6 linked regions of the Sus scrofa genome follow. The protein of the gene in region 4 purifies or fractionates together with the protein of the main gene of each other region. This does not show direct contact. Links are inferred from orthologs where the notes say so. Each region holds a gene or a part of one and is shown on either strand. Other genes may lie near its edges.

The links.
Region 1: the proteins of PTPN3 (region 4) and VANGL2 purify together in Homo sapiens (affinity purification with mass spectrometry; 3 studies listed by BioGRID and IntAct, with this or other methods). This does not show direct contact. The link is inferred for Sus scrofa from reciprocal best matches to the Homo sapiens genes PTPN3 and VANGL2.
Region 2: the proteins of PTPN3 (region 4) and SHKBP1 purify together in Homo sapiens (affinity purification with mass spectrometry; 4 studies listed by BioGRID and IntAct, with this or other methods). This does not show direct contact. The link is inferred for Sus scrofa from reciprocal best matches to the Homo sapiens genes PTPN3 and SHKBP1.
Region 3: the proteins of PTPN3 (region 4) and VANGL1 purify together in Homo sapiens (affinity purification with mass spectrometry; 4 studies listed by BioGRID and IntAct, with this or other methods). This does not show direct contact. The link is inferred for Sus scrofa from reciprocal best matches to the Homo sapiens genes PTPN3 and VANGL1.
Region 5: the proteins of PTPN3 (region 4) and YWHAE purify together in Homo sapiens (affinity purification with mass spectrometry; 5 studies listed by BioGRID and IntAct, with this or other methods). This does not show direct contact. The link is inferred for Sus scrofa from reciprocal best matches to the Homo sapiens genes PTPN3 and YWHAE.
Region 6: the proteins of PTPN3 (region 4) and KCTD3 purify together in Homo sapiens (affinity purification with mass spectrometry; 4 studies listed by BioGRID and IntAct, with this or other methods). This does not show direct contact. The link is inferred for Sus scrofa from reciprocal best matches to the Homo sapiens genes PTPN3 and KCTD3.

Annotation. Positions count from the first base shown.
Region 1 is NC_010446.5:90,060,202-90,063,701, forward strand, and holds part of VANGL2 (vang-like protein 2), read right to left. Parts: intron 2,805-3,500; 5' UTR 2,615-2,804; coding exon 2,544-2,614; intron 2,446-2,543; coding exon 2,325-2,445; intron 469-2,324; coding exon 1-468. UniProt on the Homo sapiens protein: Involved in the control of early morphogenesis and patterning of both axial midline structures and the development of neural plate. Plays a role in the regulation of planar cell polarity, particularly in the orientation of stereociliary bundles in the cochlea.
Region 2 is NC_010448.4:48,811,830-48,815,962, reverse strand, and holds the start of SHKBP1 (SH3KBP1-binding protein 1), read right to left. Parts: upstream 2,801-4,133; 5' UTR 2,741-2,800; coding exon 2,655-2,740; intron 2,423-2,654; coding exon 2,369-2,422; intron 2,244-2,368; coding exon 2,198-2,243; intron 2,101-2,197; coding exon 2,027-2,100; intron 1,734-2,026; coding exon 1,675-1,733; intron 1,451-1,674; coding exon 1,370-1,450; intron 1-1,369. Other genes in the region: SPTBN4 (spectrin beta chain, non-erythrocytic 4), read right to left, coding at 4,051-4,133.
Region 3 is NC_010446.5:105,000,354-105,003,853, reverse strand, and holds part of VANGL1 (vang-like protein 1), read left to right. Parts: intron 1-882; coding exon 883-1,117; intron 1,118-3,500.
Region 4 is NC_010443.5:250,446,388-250,449,887, forward strand, and holds part of PTPN3 (tyrosine-protein phosphatase non-receptor type 3), read right to left. Parts: intron 702-3,500; coding exon 541-701; intron 1-540.
Region 5 is NC_010454.4:47,642,528-47,646,605, reverse strand, and holds the start of YWHAE (14-3-3 protein epsilon), read left to right. Parts: upstream 1-1,278; 5' UTR 1,279-1,429; coding exon 1,430-1,493; intron 1,494-4,078. UniProt on the Homo sapiens protein: Adapter protein implicated in the regulation of a large spectrum of both general and specialized signaling pathways. Binds to a large number of partners, usually by recognition of a phosphoserine or phosphothreonine motif.
Region 6 is NC_010452.4:5,809,680-5,813,179, forward strand, and holds part of KCTD3 (BTB/POZ domain-containing protein KCTD3), read left to right. Parts: intron 1-2,387; coding exon 2,388-2,572; intron 2,573-2,649; coding exon 2,650-2,788; intron 2,789-3,500. UniProt on the Homo sapiens protein: Accessory subunit of potassium/sodium hyperpolarization-activated cyclic nucleotide-gated channel 3 (HCN3) up-regulating its cell-surface expression and current density without affecting its voltage dependence and kinetics.

The sequences.
Region 1 (3,500 bases), on a different chromosome or scaffold from region 4:
CACGGCAAACTGCACCACGCCTTGGTAGCTGCGCTCGCGAGCGTCCAAGATGCGCACGCCGTAGAAGAGCCAGTAGGAGACGACAAGCAGGAAGACAAGCACCATGAGCAGCGCACGTAGCACAAAGACGCGAGGCAGGGAGGCCTTGGGCCGGCGGAAGAACAGGGCCCAGCTGCCCAGCAGCAAGATGAGCAGCTTGAAAGCCACGGAGATGAAGAGGCCCTCACAGGCTGTCCCGCATGGCTCCAGCTCCTCCCGCCACAGCAGCGGGGGCAGCAGCAGGAAAGCCAGCGGTGTGAGGAAAGAGAGCAGGGCCAGCGTGGCCCCCGCTGCCACACCCAGGTGCCGGGAGCAGTCCAGCGGGACGCTGTCCTCCATGTCCTTGGCGATGCGTGTGAGGTCATCGTGGGAGATGCTGTGCTCCGAGGTGCCCGTGACGACCGTGGTCGTCTCCCCCCAGTTGTCATCCTGCAGCAGGAAGGGCCACAGACACGGGGGAGGGGGAGAAGAGGAGGCAGAGGGGGAGGAGACACAAGAGAAAAGGTGAGGGGAGAGAAGACAGCACAGCAGGGAGACGAGAAAAGAAGGTAATCAGTGAACCTGCAGCCATCAAGGTATTTACTGAGTACCACTGCCCAAACCTGACCTCTTCAGGGAGGGACGGGACATCTGAGACCTGGGCCCTCAGGGAGCTTCTCGCCATCAACGAGATAGGAAAAAACTGCACGTGCGCCCTCAGAGCAGAGGGTACAAGAGAGGTGCCAGGGAGCTGCTCAGCCAAAGCAGGCTCAAGCAAGCCGCCTGCAAGGCCAGACTAAGCAGTAGGTACCTATCCTCCAGACGTTGAGAGCCTCTCAAAGTTTCTGGTTAAGACAGTGACCTGACAAAGGCAGCATGGTGAGGAGAGGATCCCAGGAGGAAGGGACAGGGAAGGTAAGGGACCAGTGCAGGGCACGCAGACTCAGGGTCACTCTGGGTCTCCAGTCTGCATCTGCCTGGCCGGCTTTGCTGGGCCATCTGAATGCCCACAACACTGGGGCTGCCTGGTCCTGGAGGCAAGTGTGTGGACAGGCTGAGGTCCCCAGGGGCCCTTCCGAGTGTGATCCACTCAAGCTGCTTCCCTGAAGTGGCTGGACGCCATCCTACAGATGAGCGCCAAGACCACCAGTGGCCATCAGTGTCCACACCCAGGGGATGGGGAATCACATCCTGACACCCAGGGGATTCGGCTGCAGGACTGAGACATGGGATGGGGGTGTAGGAGACTGCCTGGCAGGGTCAGCAACTGGGGGTGGAGAATCTTCCCCCAGGACAGAGGAATCTGACCTAAAGATGCAAAGTAGAGGCTCTGCCTGCTCTCAGCTCAGGGAACCCTCATGTGACCTGTAGCCACTCTGCCTACCCTCTCAAGCATAAGGGGCCTGGGCACTCGTCCTCACTAAGAGATGAGCTGATCATGTCTCAGGGTCACTTCAAGAACCCAGGAGGCCAGGTCTCCAAGAGAAGACGGGATTGGGAAGGAGGGAGAAAGAACATTTCCCTCAGGCACCAATCTGCTCCCAAAACCCAGAAATCCCCAGTGTCAGTCACAGGGATGCTGTGTGAAGTTTCCAGCTCCTAGTGTGCGCCCAAGAAGAAAGAATAGGAGGGGAATGAGGTTCCGGCAACCTCAGAGTCATCCCAAATCCTGCCTCTGCCCTCCTCCTACTCAGGTTCAGACTCCTGGCCTTCCTACCAGGTGTACACAGTGGGCCAGAGAGACTAGAGTTGGAGCAACCTGGTCACCCCTGCCCGGGAGAACTCTCTTCTGGGGACCCTCTGCGTCTCCCCAGGCTAACGCCTCCCTGCCCCTTCTCCCACACCTCCTCTAAGACAAGGAGGTGCTATTCTTCAGGCCAACACCAGAGAGCGCTAGAGTGCCCATGCCCTCAGGCCGAGGGAAAACTCAGGGCTGCCACACCCCCAGGCCCCACCCACCCACCACGGCCCTCCCACTCCAGATTCCCAGCACCCTAACTGGCCCGCAGGGGCCCAGGGGAACCAGGCAATTCCCATGGCTCAGCGCGGGTCACCCCACCTCTCTGGAGATAAAGATGGAAGAGGCTGCTGCTTCCAAAAGAATCTCTGCTGAAACTCCCTGAATTTTACTGAAATGGGGTCCTTCCTTGGGATGCTTAGAAGTAGGACACAAGACGCCTCCCTGACCTGACCTATGTCGGAAGAGGCCAGGTTTCCCCGCCCTTCCCCTTTCTGATGGAGCTCCAGCTTCTCTAAGGATCAGTCTGGAAACTACCTGGCCCAGACCCCATGCCCCTGATGCTCACCCGCTCATCCCCTCGCGTGGACTCGTTGTCCAGCAGGGGCTCCCCTGGGGCCTGGATCGTCACTGACTTGTCCCCGCGGCTCCCATCTCGGCTCTTGGAGCGGTGTCGGTCCCGGCGGTCCCTGCAGCAGGAGGCCAGGGAAACAGGGGCTCAAGGTCAAGGGGAGGACCCACTCCCACCCCTCCCAGCCACTTGCGTTGGCCTTCCGCGTACACCCACCTGTGCTTGCGGGAGCTGCGCGAGTGGCCCGACTTATAGGAATAGCCCGAGTACTGGGACTCGGTGTCCATGGCGTCGGAACGCCGAGCTTTGTAGCGCTCCAGGGCCACAGGCTGGGGCCTTTTGGGGGGCCCCACTGCCACCTCCTTCAGCACCGACTTCTTCAGGCCAAGGGGCACCTTCAGGAAATCAACTGTCACCCTGAGGGACTCTATTTTGCTGGACGGGTGGGCTTATCTCAGAGAAAATCAGGCGGCACTCCTAGGGAGAGGAAGCAGCTGGTCAGAGTTGGGCTGGAGCTCCCCTGGGAGGGGGGTTGGGGCAGAGAGGAGGGCCATTCCAAAAGGCAGCCACAGGAAGCTCAGGGGAGCCTCACTACTGAGAAGATTCCACCCGAGTTCCCATTCTGTCCAGTGGGCCCAGTTCCTCCTGCCCTGCCCCCTAGAAAGAGCACCTCCAGACTTTGCCAAGGACTAGGGAGAAGGGGTGGCCTGCAAAGGCCAGCCAGAATGACTCAACCCTGGACCCCCTGCAGGAGAGAAGCAGGCAATGCTTTCCTATTCTCAGCCAGGAAAACGATGACTTGGAGAAAGCAGGTTCTGGCCAGGCCAACAGTCTGGACCAGGGGAGATTTTAGCAGGAAGCAGCTGGTTTCGGCCCAGAGGCTACCCCAGGCCTCTCCTCCCCTCCCTTCATCTTCCCCCGACTCAAAACTTCTGAGTGGGCCCACAGGGGGCTGCCTATGGCTGCTTCTCTTGGCATCACGTCCCTAGCACCTACATCAGACAGACCTATGGTTCCTGCCAGGTCAAGCTAGCGGCTCTGCTTGAGGCTGTGTGCATGTCTGGGTGAAAGCAGGTGAGGCGGGGGGTGAAGGATGGAAACTGCAGATAATGTGGTGGGAGGCAGGAAGAGAAGGTGAGTAGAGAAACCACTCTCCGAAAACCAAACATCCTG
Region 2 (4,133 bases), on a different chromosome or scaffold from region 4:
CCAGAATTTTTTTTTTTTTTTTTTGGTCTTTTTGCTATTTCTTGGGCCACTCCCGTGGCATATGGAGGTTCCCAGGCTAGGGGTTGAATCGGAGCTGTAGCCACCGGCCTACGCCAGAGCCACAGCAACGCAGGATCCAAGCCGCGTCTGCAACCTACACCACAGCTCACGGCAACGTCGGATCGTTAACCCACTGAGCAAGGGCAGGGATCGAACCTGCAACCTCATGGTTCCTAGTCGGATTCGTTAACCACTGCGCCATGACGGGAACTCCCAGAATTTAATCTCACTGCTATGTTTGGGGTTTATTTCATGTCTACTTATTTGTAGTGTAAAGATAGTGATAGAAAATTTCTATGTAAATAATTAAAACAAAACAAAACAAAACAAAAACAGAGTCAGGAGTTCCCTTGTGGTCTAGTGGTTTCACTGCTGCAGCTTGGGTTCAATCCCCGGTCTGGGAACTGAGATCCCACATCAAGCTGCTGCACCTCAGGGTGAAAAAAACCCAAACAAACAAAAAAACCAGGGTCAAACTAAGTTAAGAGGACGATAGGTCTTCATATGTGGCAAACTTCATGAAGGTAGTAGGTACTGACCAAGTTAGGGAAATAACAGTTAGGCAGATAATTTTCCCTGCTTTGTTCCTTCTACAAATCAGCAAAGCCTAGTGGACTACACTTCCCAATAACCAGTGGGGCATATTTTCCATGGCCAGTGGACTGGCTGCTCCAAGGTCTCACGGAGATTATAGTCAATAACTCTCCTTAAATATTTCACTCCTTCATACAAAGGACACCAGTGTTCCCTAAGCCTCTCTACAAGGAAATCACACCTGGACTATAACTCCCATCAGGCTCTAGGGCCTGCTTCGGCACCTCCAGGGGGTAGCTTGGCCCAGTGTCTCACTGGAAATGCTGTTTCCTACTTCCTTTCCCAGCATCAGGCCAAGCATCTGATTTAGAACTACAAATCCCAGGAGTTCCTATCGTGGCGCAGTGGTTAACGAATCCGACTAGGAACCATGAGGTTGTGGGTTCGGTCCCTGCCCTTACTCAGTGGGTTAAGGATCTGGCGTTGCCGTGAGCTGTGGTGTAGGTTGCAGACGCGGCTCGGATCCTGCATTGCTGTGGCTCTGGCGTAGGCCAGTGGCTACAGCTCCGATTCGACCCCTAGCCTGGGAACCTCCATATGCCGTGGGAGCAGCCCAAAGAAATAGAAAAAAGACAAAAAAAAAAAAAAAAAAAAAAGAACTACAACTCCCAGAGTGTTTCAGGGTTCACAGCTCAGGTGCCCACAGGCTGCAGCCTTGTGGGAGATGTAGTCTTTAGAGCCCTAGCCACTCTCTCCATTCCTTAGTAGTTCCCACCTGGTGCAGGCAGGTAACCATTGAAGAGGACGTTTCCACAAGAAGATCGATCCAACTCTTCCAGAAGCTGCAGACGACGAACTGGGACAAAAGGACCTAAAGGCTGGGACTTGGGGAACACTGAGACAGATCCCTTTTCCCCTCCTCCATTTCTTTCTCCACAGAATACCACCACTCTTCTGAGACCCAGGATTAAATCCAGTGCTCTCATCTCTAACCCAACCTTCTTTCAAGAGGGGAAAGAGGGAGCACCACCAGAGAGCTGGTTTTCTATTAGAAGAGGATGCTAAGGGGGCCCCACTTACCCAGAGGAGTGAGCCCATAGAACTGGGCTTCGTGGAGGAGGCTGGAACCATGGACACCCCTGGGTAATAGAAGCGACTAGGGGTCAGGCTCTGGGGAGTGGGAGTGGGCAAAGAATTCTGAGGATGGAGTTTTAAAAACTGTACAGAGAACCCTAAGAGGTAGCAAATTTTGATGGGATCAAGATTCTAAGGAGAGATGATTTGGGCAGTGAAAATGTGTGTGTTTGAGGGGAATTCTAAGGTCATATAATTTAAATATGATCAAGGTGCTTAAGTGAACATTCTGAGGAGAAGATGAGACTTCTCAGGGGGTAAAGACGGTGCGGGATTCCCCGCTATCTTCCATGCCAACCTGGGGTCCAGCTCTTTGGTGCGCAGGAAATTGAGGATGGGGGCGAAGACGGTGGGGTCCCTGTCGATGAAGATCTGCGGGGAAGAAGACAGATGGGGCAAAGAGCAAGGCTAAGTGGGGATCCTGTCCCTCCTCCTACCGGCCGCCCCTTTCAATTCTTGCTCTACTCACGGCGCCAGTCTCATCTTTCAGTGTAGAGATACGTCCGCTCAGAAGACTGCAAGGGGGTGGGGGGATGATAAGCGGGTGTCATGGGCCGCGGTGTGTGTATCATGGGGGGAGATTAGGTCTCCCCGTACCCTGTCCTCCCACCCCCCACCCCAAACTCGCTCTCCCAATCACCTGGAGAAGAAGGAGTCTGGGATCCAGGTGAGAGTCTGGCGAGAGGTGCTGAATCTGTGCGGGGACCGTGAGAGGACGCGAGATGATGGAGAGAGGATGGCGAATGAGGCCCTAATCCCAGGACCGGGTGAGTTCCCTTCGCTCCTCCAGCACCCATCAGGCTCCCGCGCCTCCAGCAGAGGGCGGAGCAATCCTTGATGGACAGGGATTCCCCTCGGGAGAGACGGGTACTCCCACCTCGCTCCACACCGCCGAGAGTAGGGTCTCGAGAATCTCCTACACTCACCTCTTGCCTCCCACGTTCAGATGAATCACCTCGCCGGGAGGCCCCCGACTAGGGACCCCGTCGGCTGCAAGGGCCGCGGCTTCCATGGCCCTCGGGCGAGCCGGCCGGCCAGCACCCGCTTCCGGGTGTGCACCCCACCCCCGCCTCCACCGCGTGCTCATTGGGCCGGAGACTCCTGGAGCCACCCGCGATTGGGCAATGCGCTCACTTGTCGCAGTTAATGTTCTCCTCCTCCTTAAAGGGGCCCGCTTTTCCTGTGCTGGACGGGGCGGACCGAGAGGCTCCTTTGGGGAAGTTTAGTTACCGTGAATAGCAAAACGTACCTCCACCCCTCTGGGGTTCCCAACTTAGGAATGGCATCTAGCTGCTTCTTCGGGGGCACGTGTTTAGACCTCGAAATTAGTCCATACCAAGAGGGACATCTAAATGTTCTCCGCAACACAGTTTCCTGGCCTCGCCCCACCCAATCCTCCCAGGCGCCGCCCAAGAAACTTGAACAAACCGTCATAGACCGTCAAAGCCAAAGAATTTATTATAGGTACATCGAGTGTGCGCCTGCCGCCCCACCCCTTACCCCTGAGCCCCAGCGGCCCTGGGGGCTGCCTACCATCTGGTTCCCCCACTCCTCCGGGAGGTGCTCCAGCCAGAAGCATGCAGGGGGAGGGCTTCCCCTCGCCCCTCCCCTCACAAAGTGACATTTACAGATAGAGGGGGGAGGAGAGAGGAAGACAGTTTTGAGCTTTGACGCCCCTCCCATTAAAAGCCTTCGCGGATGCGGGGCGGGAGAGGAGGAGGTCGACGTTTTGCAAAAATAAACTAAGTCAGGAATTAATCGCATGGCTCTGAGACGGCGGAGGGCAGGGGCTAGGGCCCCTTCTCTCCCCCTCCCCAGACAGAGATCAAGGCAGCATTGGAAGTGAGGTAAAGGCGGGGAGGGGGCGTCCCCTCCCCACCCCTAGCACCCTGGATGGTCCAGGGGACCTCACCAGCGCCCCCATGCCCATCCCTAGGGCGGAGAGGGGCGCGGAAATTATCGCCCCCACCAACCCAGCTTCTTGGGGCAGGATATGGGCATCGGGGCAGGGGGCTTGGCTCAACCGGCCCCTTACCCGCCCCACCCCCCAAGCTCAGTTATTGCATAAAAATAAAGGAGCCCCAGCACCTGGGGTGGGGGTGGCGAGCGGGAAGGGGCCGAAATATGGCTAATAGGGGCAGCAATCCCCCCACCACTTCTTGGGGTGCAGGAGAAGACCCCTCCTTTCCAGTGCCCATCATGGCGCATCCTCAGTGTTGGTTGGGACTAGGGGCTCCTGCCCCATCGGAAGAGAAAGTGTCTTTGTGCCCACAGTGCCAGGAGGAGGGGCGGGGAGGTGTGTCAGGCCCTGGGGGTGGGAAGTCACTTCCGGCGCCCACTGGCTCTGCGCTCCCCTGCCTCCCGCTTGGGGTTGCCCTCGTCTGTGGACGACGTGGTGGGCGCTG
Region 3 (3,500 bases), on a different chromosome or scaffold from region 4:
CACACCAGCATCCCCTCCAAGACTTCTTTCTAAACCATCAAATGAAATTTCACTTGATGAGCCCAACTGCTTGGGCCTTCAGAGGGAATCTTGCTCCAGTGGTTCCCAAAGGTTAGCCTGCAAAAGCATCACCCGGAGGGCTTGTTAAAACACAGATTTCAGGTCAGGTTCCGGCCCCACCCACAGAGGTTACTTATTTTTCAGTGGGTCTAGAGTGGGGCCCACCCAAGAATTTGCATTTCTTAGAAATTCCCCACTGATGATGAAGCTGCTGGCCCTGGGCCCACACTCTGAGCGAGCCCGTCCTATATCCCCAGGCTCTTGCTGGTTTCCAGGATCTGAGCACATTAGCCAAAGTGGACAAAGACGGTTTTCATCCTGTGTGCTGGGCCCCTGCCTTCCTCCTTCCCAAGGGCTGCTGGTGTGGGCGGCCGGCTGGGGGAGATACAGCTCCAGGTCTTTGTCAGGCTGCTTCCGCACCAGCGGCCACCCCTCAGTGCACGCAGAGCCTTATGCAGCCAGAGTTTGAGGGACCCTAAAACTCTTTTCCTCTAACCCTTCATTGTACAGATGAAAAGGACGAAGTGAGTCTCCCAAATTAGTGGCAGAATTGAGAGCGGTCCCCTCCTCGTTCTAGGGCTCCTTCTTCCTCCCCTGAAGCCCCCATCCCCTGCAGTGCATTTGCCTTTGCCCTCCTCTCCGTTCCTGCCAGCCCCCCCCCACAACCCCCGCCATCTGGAGTGGCAGCTGAGGACGGGGAGCCGTGGGTGCGCTGGTGGCGGACTGGGGCACAGCAGGCGGGCAGACGTCATCCCGGTTCTGTCTGCCTCTGTCCTCGAGCCCCGCCCCACGGTCCCGATGCCCTTGTTTCGGCCCCTCCAGGCTGGTGGTCGCGGTGGAGGAGGCCTTCATCCACATCCAGCGTCTCCAGGCCGAGGAGCAGCAGAAAGCCCCAGGGGAGGTGATGGACCCCAGGGAGGCCGCGCAGGCCATCTTCCCCTCCATGGCCCGGGCTCTGCAGAAGTACCTGCGCACCACCCGGCAGCAGCACTACCACAGCATGGAGAGCATCCTGCAGCACCTGGCCTTCTGCATCACCAACAGCATGACCCCCAAGGTGCGGCTGGTCACCGAGCTCGGGGAGTCCCACTTCAGGGGTGGTCAGGAGTGCGAACATCAGAGGCTTCTCTCAAGCGCCAATGAATAAGAATGAGGGATTCTCACTTATTTTGTGCGGTTTTGGCACAGTTGCTTTTTTAAGTTGCCTTTGGAGGCCTCTGGATTCAAGCAGAGGAAAGACTTTCACTTAGAGATGGTCCAGGTGGCAGCTCGGGGTACGCTGGTTTCTCGTTTCTGGTTGACTCATTCTAACCTGGCTTTCTGTTCCTTTCTGCCAGTGGGAAACCTTGGGCCAGGAGCTTAATGGCTCTGTGCCTCGGTTTCCTAACCTGTAAATTGGGGATAATACTAGTATCTACTTCATTGGGTTGTTGTGATAACTAAGAGGCACACAGTTTTAAGCCCGTTCTTGTGCAGGGCTTAAAACTGCATCTGTCCTAGTGGAAGGACCAAAGAAATAGCTTTGATTATCAGCGGTAGAAACAAGGCCATCACTTGGGCGTTTTGGGGCTGTTGTGGGTTTAGTTTTACTAAATGGTCTTTTGGATTATGACGTGAGCACACCGCGGGGGATGTGGCAAACAGCAATGCATCTACTAGACGGATGTGGCCAAGGAGGCAGCACAGAGTAAGGGTTCAGCAAATGACCGCTCTTCAGATAGAAGTGGGTTCACCTCCAGGCTCCACCACCGAATTGCTTTGTGACTTAGCCTTAAGTTTACACTTGTTTCCTCTTTTATAAAATGAGGATAATGATAGTATCTACTTGATAGGATTGTTGTGTGGGAATTATAGTAAAAATGGCAGCATGACAGGTCAGTCACATGGTAGAGCGTAAATGACCTTGACATTTCGTACACATGTGCACTTGGTAGTGTTACTGTTGGTATAAGGACCTGTGTTCAGACACTGCCCTGAATGTACACAACTGCTGATGACATTGTCGCTAACCAGTAATGACACTTAGGAAAACAACATGGGTTTTCACACTCCTTGACTTACTAGCCCCTCTCCTGGAAAAAGTATTCAGCACAGTCAGCTCATATATATGAATATACATGCAGGTGAGTTTTTGCAAAATAGTCTGTATTCACTCAAAACTGGAAATAACTTAAAAATAGAACAGTAGCTTATAAATTCTGGTACATCACTTATTAAAACACAGAAGACTCTTTGTTGCTATAATAATAAGTTACAAAATGCAGAATACAAATAAGTGTGAACGCTGTGGTTGCAAGTGAGCCCAGTAAGTCTGGGTGTACAGAGTGATAGCTCGTGCCACACAGAATGGAAGTGGTTATTTTCCTTTTTTTCAAGGTTTTTAAAAAGGTTTCCTGAGGGCTTTCTTTTTCACTGAAAAAGAGTATACTTTTCTGAATAAAAAATAATATTTGCATGAAAATGTTAACATTAAAGAAAAGTATAATGGGAGTTCCCTTCGTGGCTCAGCAGTTAACGAACCTGACTAGTATCCATGAGGATGCAGGTTTGATCCCTGGCCTTGCTCAGTGGGTTAAGGATCCGACGTTGCAGTGAGCTGTGGTGTAGGTTGCAGATGTGGCTCGGATCCCGCATTGCTGTGGCTGTGATGTAGGCCTGCAGCTGTAGCTCCAATTTGACCCCTAGCCTGGGAACTTCCATATGCCACGGGTGTGGCCCTCAAAAGCAAAAAAAGCCAAAAAAAAAAAAAAAAAAAAAAAGCAAGAAAGAAAAGTATAAGGTACAAAGTGAAGTTTTGATTCCCCTAATCCAGACAGTTCTTACTGATATAAAGACTGGGTGTATATTCTTTCCGGGTGGGTGTGTGTTTTCAAAACAGAAATAGGAAAAAAACAAAAACCAAAAAACAGAAATGGGATCTCAAACTATATAGATAAAGTATGGATACTAGGTTTTTTCACTTAAAGCTGCTCTTGGCTGTCTGTCCATGTCAGGCCTTCACACAGCTCTAACTCTTTCTCTCCAATAGCTGCATCCTAGCCCACTGAATACCGGGGTTTGTTTAACAGACTGCCTACTGATGCACTTCTGGAGTAAGATCGTTCTTTAGTCTGAATGAGGGCTTGGCTCTTTTTGCTAATCGAGCTTTCCTGGAACACAGCCACACCCTTTATTTACAGATTGTCGACAGCTGCTGTCTCTCTACCAGGACAGACTTGAGTCGTTGTGACAGTGCGTGCCTTGCAAAGCCAAAAATATTTACGTTTAGAGAAAAGTTTGCCAACCCCTGGCCTAAACAGAGTTGCAGTAAATCCCTTTTTTACATGTGTTTTTGTGTATGTAGGCAATTATTTCAGAAGGATGCATTTCTGGTAGAGGAACAGCTGGATCAAAGGCACAGATCCTGCCAAATTGTCCTGCTAAGTGGTGTCACTCTTTCA
Region 4 (3,500 bases):
TTTTGTAAAGTCTCTGGGTGCTGTTGTCAACAGTCTCAATGCTGTGATTGGAGGTCCCTCCTGGGGAAGGGAGACGGGGCCTGACCTTGGTTTCTGCTTGTGTTCTGATTCTCTGGGGCACTTGGGAAGCCGAGCCCCTGTGCCCTCATGGGATGATACGGATACTAAGTGGTCGCAATTGCAAAGTGTGCCTGGTGGGGTCAGGACCCGGCTCCTCCATCAGCCCTTCTGCCTCACCCACGCTGCCTCTCCACTACTTTTGACTGCTGAGTGCTTCGAGCCTTTGCGTTGGCAGCAAAATATGCTCAGAGTCCCGCCTCCTTGATTTCTGACATGCTTCTCCATGACTACTGATCGTTACTAGAACAGGCAGGTGAGACAGAGTTCAGGGGCGGGCCGTGGTCGCCAGCCCCCGCCTTCTCTGAGGCCCCGAGCCCCTCCATGGTCCCTGGATGAGCACGGCCAGCTGGTGAGTTGAATGATCCGGCAGCAGCCGGCAGCCCACAGAGGCACTGGGGGGTCAGCCCTGAGGTCTCTTACCTCAAACTGGATCAGCACCGTCCCGCTTTCGAGGCCCTTCTTTAGCTGTTCCATGGATCCCTCCAGCGTGTCCCCACCCTCCGGACACATGGGGAAAATGGCCTCTGGGAAGAGCTGGTTCAGTTCGTCTTCAGATTTGATATCAGCAAATGAGTGGACCGCTGCAGTGGACGAGAAGGAACGTGTCGGGCCTGTGCAGCCACACGCTGGGGGATCGGTTTCCTCCCCCCAATTACACTTATGACACCTGAATGCAGATGGTTTAAAACATCTTATTAAATGATTAAGCACATGGTAATCATTTTCACCAACGACACTTCTTGTTGAATGATTCAATATGTGCTAATTATACAAAATGACATACTAATCTTTCTGGTTAGTTTTAAATGATGGTGTTTAGTACTCAGAGGCTTTTGCCAAAGGTATGAGAAAGGGAATGACTGTTTTTAAAGAACAGAGATCAGAGTTCCTGTTGTGGTGCAGCAGAAACAAATGTGACTAGTATCCATAAAGATAAGGGTTCAATTTCTGGCCCTGCTCAGTGGGTTAAGGATCCGGTGTTGCTGTGAGCTGTGGTGCAGGTCGCAGACATGGCTCGGATCCCGAGTTGCTGTGGCTATGGCCGGCAGCTGTGGGTCCGATTCAACCCCTAGCCTGAGAACTTCCATATGCCCTATGGGTGCGGCCCTAAAAAGCCAAAAAAAAAAAAAAGAACAGAGATCTTCTCCTGTTACTGTCTCTGAGCTGGTTATTCTTCTACCCCTGTTCTTCCCGAACCGTGTCTTCGGCCTACACCACAGCTCATGGCAATGCCGGATCCTTAACCCACTGAGCGAGGTCATGAACTAAACCCGCAACCTCATGGATCCCAGTTGGACTTGCTTCCGCTGCGCCACGATGGGAATCCCATGGGTCCCTTTTATCTGCTCCTTTAAAACAGGCATTTTCCCAGAAACTGGTGTGGGGTCTGGTGCTCTCTCCACACTGCCACTGTCCCACAGAGCTCAGGTGGTGTCTCTAACTCAGGCCACTGTTAGGAGGGAGGCCGCCCAGATAAACATCTCTAGTCTGTGTTTCCTCTTTGGAACAAATTCTCCCTTCATGCAGACTCAATATGGGTTAAAAAAAAAAAAGGCCAAGGGCCCTTCCTTCCCCACCATGCACAATACGTCCCGGCCTCATATGCTTCTTTCTGTCTATGTCACTTCCTTCTCCACTCTCTTAAAGGGAAGACTTTGAGCTCATCTCTGAATTTTTCCCTTTCTACCCAGAAACAGAAGTCACTCCCTTTCGCAATAGCCTTCAATGGCTCCCTACTGCCTTCAAGATAACAGGAAAGAAGGAGGCAACAACTTTGGGTTTTCCCACAGAGTTGAACTGAATCCTCACAGTACTGAAGCAGGTGTCATTATTCCCATCTTGCAGATGAGGAAACTGATTCAAAGGGCAAGAGTTTTAAGTCCACATCTGGCTGACCCGAAAGACCACATTCTTTTCACTGACCAAAGAAGCTCAGTTCTTCTACTTATTTTTGTGGGTTTTGTCATATGTGCTCCCCCGCCCCGTCCCGTTACTATTTACTTATTTTTCTTTCAATCATTTTTTACTTAAATGTTTATTTTTAAAATGAACTCACTGGAGTTCCCATCCCGTGGCTCAGGAGTAACAAACCCGACTCACATCCATGAGGATGAGGGTTTGATCCCTGGCCTTGCTCAGTGGGTTAAGGATCCAGCGTTTCTGTGAGCTATGGTGTAGGTTACAGACATGGTTTGGATCTGGTGTGGCTGTGGCATAGGCTGGCAGCTTCAGCTCCAATTTGACCTCTAGCCTGGGAACTTCCATATGCTGCAGGTGTGGCCCTAAAAAGACAAAAAAAAAAAAAAAAAAAGAACTTACTTTCATTACAGTTACAGGAAACCTTTTATGCACTTCCCTTTAGGCTCTACTAGTCTACAAGTATCTGTTTTTCTCACCTCAAAGCGTATTATACATTAAAGCCTGATACAAGTTCTGATTCTTCTTCTGTAAGGTCGAATGGGGCTCCATTAGTTTCTGCTACAGACACTGGCCCCTTGCCATGGGCTGGTGGTGGGCCCCCTCCCTGGCTTGGCCAGGGTGCTCCTGGGAAGAACCCCAGATTTGGCCAGCGGGTCACAGGGCACTGCATGTGATAGAGAGGTCTGCTCCCAACTGCTGGATTCCTTCCGTCCCTATTATCATGGGGCCTCACCAGACACATGGCAGCAGGGCAACTTAACCTCTCCGTGACTGCTGTTCCCATTTAGAGATAATAACACTAACCTACGAGAACATTTTAAGAATTGAATGGGATAATTAGTAAAGCAATTGACATGGTGTAGGCCCTCTGCTGGTGCTGCAGAGACATCAGCCACTGTCACGAGTGATACCTACTGTGTGCCCAGCATGGAGCTGGGTTTGGAGGGGATGGGGTGAGACGAGGTGGGAAGGGTTTTGGAGAGATCAGGTGGGGCCCTCACGGAGGAGGTGGGGTGAGAGCTGGCACTGGGAGCATCACCGGGAACAGAGAAGGCAGTGAGGCCACAACAGGGATGCAGGGCCAGGGCTTGAGCCACATACTTCATTTACCTTCAGTATTTGAAGCCGGGCAGGAGGATCCAAGGCTAACTGCTTTATAACAACCACCACCACCACAACAACAGTAATAGTATTCAACAGAGGCTGCCCTTCAAATGCCCACCAAGTACGGGGCAGCGTCCTTGTTGCTTTTCAGTATGAGTATTACTGAATCTTCACAGGAATCCAGAGGCAGCAACTGTGTTATCCTCATTTTACTTTAGTGGAAACGGAGACAGACTGGGCAAGAAACTCCTACTGGGCAAGGTCCCTGGGCCCAGTAGGAGGCAGGGTTAGAACAGCCCCAAGGCAGTCAGCCTCCTGCCCTACTCAGCTTACTGTCTCTCCAACAAAACCAAATG
Region 5 (4,078 bases), on a different chromosome or scaffold from region 4:
TCCAATCGGAGCTGTAGCTGCCGGCCTATGCCAGAGCCACAGCAACTCGGGATCCGAGCCGCGTCTGCGACCTACACCACAGATCACTCCAATGCCGGATCCTTAACCCACTGGGCAAGGTCAGGGATGGAACCCGAAACCTCATGGTTCCTAGTCGGATTCCTTAACCACTGAGCCACGACGGGAACTCCTACTTGGGCAGCCTTTGAGAACCTTATAACCAACTGTGATAAAAGGAACTCGTCTTTCTCCGCATTCCATCTGAAAATTTTCCTAGCATTCTTATTTTTTTTGTTAATGGTACCATTTAGTCTCTTAGTGACTAGGTAGGGAAGATAGAAGGTCAATTTAATCCCCCCCCCCCACATCTGATTAACTACAAACTCTTCGTAGTTTCTCTCTTAGCACTATCTCCATTTGTCCTTTCCTATTTTCATTGTGGTCATATTACCTTTTGCCTGTATTATTGTAATAGCCTGATCATTTATTCTGCTCTTTAATCACTGCTATACAATAATCTTTTTAGAGAATAACGATGGTGTCATCCACCATGAAAAATCATCAAAAAATAATTTCCTTGTGGCCACTGAATAAGGCGCAAACTTCCCAGCATGCCATCCAAGCTTCTTCATAACTTGGTTCCAACCTTTTAATACACATTTACCGCAGACACTACCAAACAGCTTATATTCTAATTACCTGAACTTCAGTCTTGCAACACATACTGTACGAATACAAGATGTTAGGAATCCACTGGGAAGCCAAACATCAGGTCGTTTCCCTTTCCTGCCTCCTGATCGCAATGTGATCTTGCTCCTACTCTCCTGCACCTTAGGTGCTCCAGACCAGGATCCCCTAACAACTTCCCTGTACCGATCCATGGTGGGCCCAAGGGGAAAAAGAAGGCTTAAGGAGAAGTAAAGAAAGATTGCGAAGTAAGAAGCTGAAGTGTGAAGTCCTCGTTCCGCATTTGGCTACAGAAGAGCCCAACTCTTTACCCTGGGGTTAAAAGGGTCTGAGTAAGATCCAGGACTGCCTTTACCATTACCAAAATCGTTACTGCCGCTAGTTTCTCTGCCCGTAGTCCAGCTCTTTCGTTCACTCTCTCGCCTGGCTTCCCTCACTTCCTTGGGGAGCTTTCCCACTATGCAGTCGCAGTTCCCGCTTCCAACCGCCCCTAAGCCCACGGAGGAGGGGCGTCTAGTAGGTTCCAGCCTCTTCGGGCGCTGAGCTCCCAGACCCGCCCCCCCGCGCCAGTTGCCAGGGAGCGGTTGCCATAGAGCTGAGCAGTTGTCCGCGTGCGCAGGCGGAAGTCCCGGATTGAGGCGCCGCCATTTTTGCTGCCCGGTCGCGGAGCGAGAGGCTGAGAGAGTCGGAGACGCTATCCGCTTCCATCCGTCGCGCAGACCCTGCCGGAGCCGCTGCCGCAATGGATGATCGGGAGGATCTGGTGTACCAGGCGAAGCTGGCCGAGCAGGCTGAGCGATATGACGGTGAGTTGGGGGGGGAACGGGGGGCTGGAATTCTAGGACCCTCTGCCGCCGCCCACAGAGACCAGGACCAGGAGACAAAATGGCGGCATCGTCTCCTAGCCTGGCCCGGGGAGGTGGATTTGGGAAGCAGGCAATGGCCTGTAGGCTTTCAGAGCCGCAGGAGGCTCCAGACTCAGGATTTTGACTCCTTCGGCGTTCTCAGCTGCAGACACTCGGGAGCCAGGAGGCCGGGGCGTTAGGGTGGAGGAGTTGGTTGTAAAATGGCGGCTGGGGGGGAGGGCGAGTCCCGGGGCGGGGGAGGGGGAGGAGATGGCGGGTGCTGTCTCCCAGCGAGCAATCCCCAGGGGAGCCTCGGGGCAGTTCTTGGGACGTGGTGAACAATTGGGTGGCGTGACGAGGGAAGAAACACCCGCCACATGGGGGAGAGTGGCGACCGGGAGCGCGGGCGCCTTTCAGGGAAATATGGCGGGTGGGGGCGGTGGCTTTTCCCCAGAGGCCCAATGTGGGGCGGCGGCTGTGTAGTCTCACAAAGGAGAACCCTTGCGAGCGGAGGGCTCCTTTGGGTTTGGGGTGGGGGGCAGTCTCGGATGAGGGTGGGGAGAGCGAGGGGAGAGTGGGAATCACTGCAGTTCATCCTTGGGCGGAGGCCAGCCGAGATGCTACGTTCGGATTTCCTTCCCGTAGACCAGCACACCTTGTAGTGGGGTTTTTTAGGCTTTCCGTTCAACCTCGCCTTGTTCTGGGGAGGTCTAGAAAAATCTCTCTCACGCTCCCTTTCCTCAAACTTAACCTGCAGAGTTCGAAGTTCCTGGTAATCATTTTCTGGCTTCATAAGCTGTGGGTTCTGGTGGATAGATAGAACATTGAACAGGAAACAAGGAGATGATGAATTTTAGTTCCTCTCCTATTCCCGTGCCTCAATCTATCAGTATTTAAAAATGACGACTTTCCTGTTTACACGCGGCATTACGACAAATGGAAAGACCTGTTGGAAAATCAAGTTTTTTCAAATAACGTTTAGTAACTGTATTTTAGTTGCCTTCCTTGGCTTGGAATGCGTGATCGTACTTAACCTATCCCAAAGCACTCAGCAGAGATTTGGGTTTTTGAATTAAGACCGTAAGGAATCCCAGTAGATCTTATTTTCTTTTCTCCGTTTTAAGTAAATGGTTTCATGCACAGATTTGAGCAGTTCTTTGTTCCTTGCTCCTTTTCCCCTAAAGGCTCTGTAGTCATTTTTCAGAACTTCTTCGAAATGGCCACTGTGTCTTTTTAGTCGGTTCTAGGCTGCTTTTTTTATTGCCCCTCTCGTTGTGGGTCTCCTGCCCCCGCCCATTTTGGATCTAGGTATGTGAATTACTCCCACATCTTTTAAACTGGCATTATCATAACAAAAAATCCTATGTATGTTTTTTGTGGTTTTTATACTTTTGTGGCGTAAGACGGGGTTGGAATCAAGTGTCAATGAATAGATTTTTCTTCATGAAGCCACTTTTTTCCCCAAAATGTCGTGTGGAGACCTTGCTTTCCTTGAATGCCTGTTTGGTCATGTGAATAGTCTCAGGGCTGGTCCTGGCGTATCTTCATTAGGAGTCAGGAATTTGAAAATTACTAGAAAAGACCTCGAACTCAAATTTAGGAAGGTTACTACTTCTATTTTGTAAATCCTTCAATTGCTATTTGTATTGAACAAGATTCCTGTGGAAAGGGGGAGGGGAAAAGATGGGGAAGTACAGCTCAAGGTCAGTTTTGTCTTTATTTCACTGTTGAAAAGCGAACTAATGTAGGTGTGCTTGGAATGGAAGTTTTTCTCTTCTCCCCCCCTCCTGTCCCAAATAGGTTCCTCTCTTAATACACCAATGCCCTTAGGGAGGAAACTTGAAATTATATCGGAATGCTTTCTGTTCTTTAGGGATTTATAGGCTCTGGCTGTGATCACCAAAGAGGACGTGGAGGGAGCTTTTTTTTTTTTTTTTAAGAACTTGTTTTAAAAAGTGGTTTGGAAGTTCATGATTGTAGCTTTCACGTAAGTGACAGTTTAGTGATAATAATGTATTGGTTTTGAGTGTTTGAGGATTTTTGACCAAAGGCCTTATTATTTAGCACAGGATCCGTATTCTTAAGGTTGTTTAAACGTTAGGAGTGTCCTTCAGAATCTAAAGGGAGGTAGGGAATATAGGATCTACCAGTTTGGAGAGAATGTCCGTGACTGTTGGGTACAAGACAGAGAGGGATTCATTGGAAAGGGAGAAGAGGAAGACACTCCTTAGGAATCAGCCTCTACCTGTGACCACTCCTTTATTGGATATAATAATTCAGTTTTGTTTCTGGTGACAAAAAGTGATTTTATAGTTGTAGTTAGCAAATAATTTATCAGGCATGGGGAAAGTGAAGAGTGCATTTGAATGACTTGGCTTGGTGTAGTTGGATATAAATGTTGGCTTTTCTTCTTGTTCCTGTAGTACCTTTGTCTTTTATTTTGCATGTTATGTTGAATCTATTAAACTTTTTTAGTAGCATCATTGAACTCTGACCTGGGGAATTGGAATCAATTGATATGGATTATTTAATGGTACTGGAGGATG
Region 6 (3,500 bases), on a different chromosome or scaffold from region 4:
CTTAACCCACTGAGCGAGGCTAGGGATCGAATCTGCAACCTCGGGTTTGTTTCCACTGTGCTACAGTGGGAACTCCTGACATAGCTTGTTTTAATCTCTGTTATTTATAGCCTCAAACATACTGAGCTATAACATTTCTCATTAAAAACAAAATTTTTTGCATGTCAAAAAGTGAAAAAAAAGTTAAATTCTTACTCATGCTAGTGATATTTTTAATAACTTTCCTGACATCCTTTCTTCACCATGTGCTCTCGCATTTCTTAATATTTTAAGGAGTAAAGTCTTAGAGATGATAAATTTTCTATCAAAGGTCATTGCATATAGTCATCAGCAATTATTAAATGCTTCCAGAGGATGATTTCTATGTACTGAACTATCTTTTTGTTAGTTTTTTAAGAAAACGTATTAGGAGCCTATAGTTTAGTTAGAGACCAGATTTTTACTTTGAGAAATGCATCACTGTGGTTTAGTGTTGTGGGCATATTAGGTGAAAAGGCTGCCAAATATTAGTGGCTGTGACAATATCCTCTAACCGTACAGTATTTCATACTCTTGTTCCGTTTGTTTTCCTTCCTAGTGCTGTTTTGTTCCTAAGTGATGTTCTTGTTACAACAACACACTGATGCTATTTGAAGTATCAACAATTTTTGCATGATAAAGTCTGTAATTTTTAAATTTGATTCCAGCAGAAAAGCTAGAGTTGTAAAAATAACAAGCCCAGGAACCTGTTGAAAATGTTTCTTTCTCTCATTAAAATCCAGGCTTTTCGATTTAACCCCTGCCCCCAACAAAGAAAAGTAATTTTACAGATTATATTTTGTAAAATTAAATGGGAGATTAGCCCTTTATGAACCTGCTCTGAAGCTAAGCTTTTTGTTGAAAAACTGTTCAGGTTCTTAATAGTGAGAAGTGAAAGAATTTTGCCGAAAATTGGCAAGGAAGGAAACTTGGAAAAAATTTTTTTAAAGGAAGAAGAATTTTAAGTAATCTCTCCATAGGAAAAATTAAGAATCAGATATTATGTTTGCTTTCATGCATTTAGGCTTGTTTTGTTTATTTTTATTGACGGCCGGCCCTGTGTACCCAGGCTTGCCCCCCACCCCGCCCAAGGTGACACCGCAGGCCCATGGTGCTCAGGGCCCTTCTGTAAAAGGCTGTGGTACAGTCAGCCCCTGTGTCTGTAGGGTCCACATCATGGAGCACTGGCTGATTGTTTAAATAGAAACAGGAATCGAGATTTTTAAAAATGTCTTTTCGTAGGTAATATTGAAAAATAAATGTAATTCACTGCATTAAAGAAGTAGAGAGAAAATGATCATCTTGATAAACACAGAAAACCATCGGAGGAGTTGTTACTGTGGCTTAGGGGTAACAGACCCAGCTAGTACTCATGAGGATGCAGGCTGATTCCTGGCCTTGCCTAGTGGGTTAGGGATCTGGTGTTGCCATCAGCTGTGATGTAGGTCACAGATACAGCTAGGATCCTGCGTTGCTGTGGCTACGGTGTAGGCTGCCACCTGCAGCTCTCATTTGACCCCAGCCTGCGAACTTCCCTTTGCCACAGATGCAGCCCTAAAAAGCAAAAAAAAACAAAAACCAAAATAAAAAAAAAAAGCCCAAAACAAAACAGTTCACACTTTTATGATATAAAAAAAAAATTCTATCTCAGTGAAGGTTCATATTCTGTTCATATGTTTCTCGCTTAATAGGGATAGGACTTCCTCCTTTATTTTCTCATCTTGGATTTCCCTGGAACTGATTGTTCTTAATCTTTTTCTTTTTTTAATTGTCTCAACTATTTTTGAAGAAGGTTGGGATAAATGATTCAATCAAGTACAGTTTTGTTAACCCTCTGTAACCTCAGCACATTGACTGAAACAAAAAAGTTTCCTCATTTGTCAAATGTCAGTAATTGTTCTTGGTCAGATTCTTTTATCTTTTATGAAAATTGACGCTTGGAAAAAATGAAGAATCTATTACGCCACCTACCATTTCGATATATTTAGACATGTCTTTAATGTTATACCTTGTTGAGGTTTTAGGTTTTTAAATTTTGTACATAAAGGTTAAATGACTTAAGATCTTTCCTAGTGTGATGCCTTCTTGCTTGCTTTCTGCCTTTTTAGTTTCTGGACTTCCCTTTTAAAGAATTGCTCAATTCTTATCAAAGGTTTTAATTTGATTTAAATTACTTGCTTTTTTCAGTTATAATAAGAGCTTTTTCTTCAGATTCAAAGAAGCAAGGCTTGAGTTTCATTGCTCTTGACTTTGACGCCTTTAAATCTGTTGTATATGTTCGGCTGTAACTTGGCCAATGAGCAGTTTCAAAAACCTGACTTGTGTTATTTGTTCCCCATAGTTTACAAACTGTACAAAATCTTTTGCAGAATCTGTGAGATCCAAGCTGTTGACTGTACCACAATATCCTCATTTACAGTGAGAGAATGTGAGGGGTCCAGCAGGATGGGTTCAAGGCCAAGGCGCTACTTGTTCACAGGCCACACGAACGGCAGCATTCAGATGTGGGATCTGACCACCGCGATGGACATGGTTAACAAAAGCGAGGACAAGGGTAGGTTCCAGAGGGCAAGGTGTTTACCGCAGGGTGGTGTTGACCGAAGTGACTCTGATGCTGTCCCTTCCCCACAGATGTCGGTGGTCCGACGGAGGAAGAGCTGCTCAAGTTACTGGATCAGTGCGACCTGAGCACATCTCGCTGTGCCACTCCCAACATCAGTCCGGCAACTTCTGTCGTTCAGCATAGCCGTCTCCGCGAATCAAATTCTAGGTGGGTTAAAGAGGGGAAGGACATTTTAAATTCATACTTTATGTTGCCATTCACGTTTTTAAAATTTTTACCAAATTTTCATCTCTATGCCTATTTGGTTCTTTTTATACAAAAACATTTTTTGCCCTTTATGTTAATTTGTGAATTGCTGCCAATTCGAATGCCTATTTTGTGATCAAGAATTCATGGAAAGGAAATTAGAAAAATCATGTCACCTTAGTCTGTGCGTCTTTCATTTCCATTGCTTCAGGGACGTATTTAATCAACATGATTAGACAAGATAATGTAACGTTAGGCATTGTGTACTTTTTTTTTCTTTTTTTGCTATTTCTTTGGGCCGCTCCCGAGGCATATGGAGGTTCCCAGGCTAGGGGTCGAATCGGAGCTGTAGCCACCGGCCTACGCCAGAGCCACAGCAACTTGGGATCCGAGCCGCATCTGCAACCTACACCACAGCTCACGGCAACGCTGGATCGTTAACCCACTGAGCAAGGGCAGGGACCGAACCCACAACCTCATGGTTCCTAGTCGGATTCGTTAACCACTGTGCCACGACGGGAACTCCATTGTGTACTTTTAATACAATGACATGGTGTATCTTTTTAGTTAACTGTATTTTAAAAAATACCAAAATCTGAAATAAGGATCAAATACTGACACTCTTTTTGTTCTGTATTGGATAAAAAGGTTATTTTTTCCCCAAGCTTTTTTT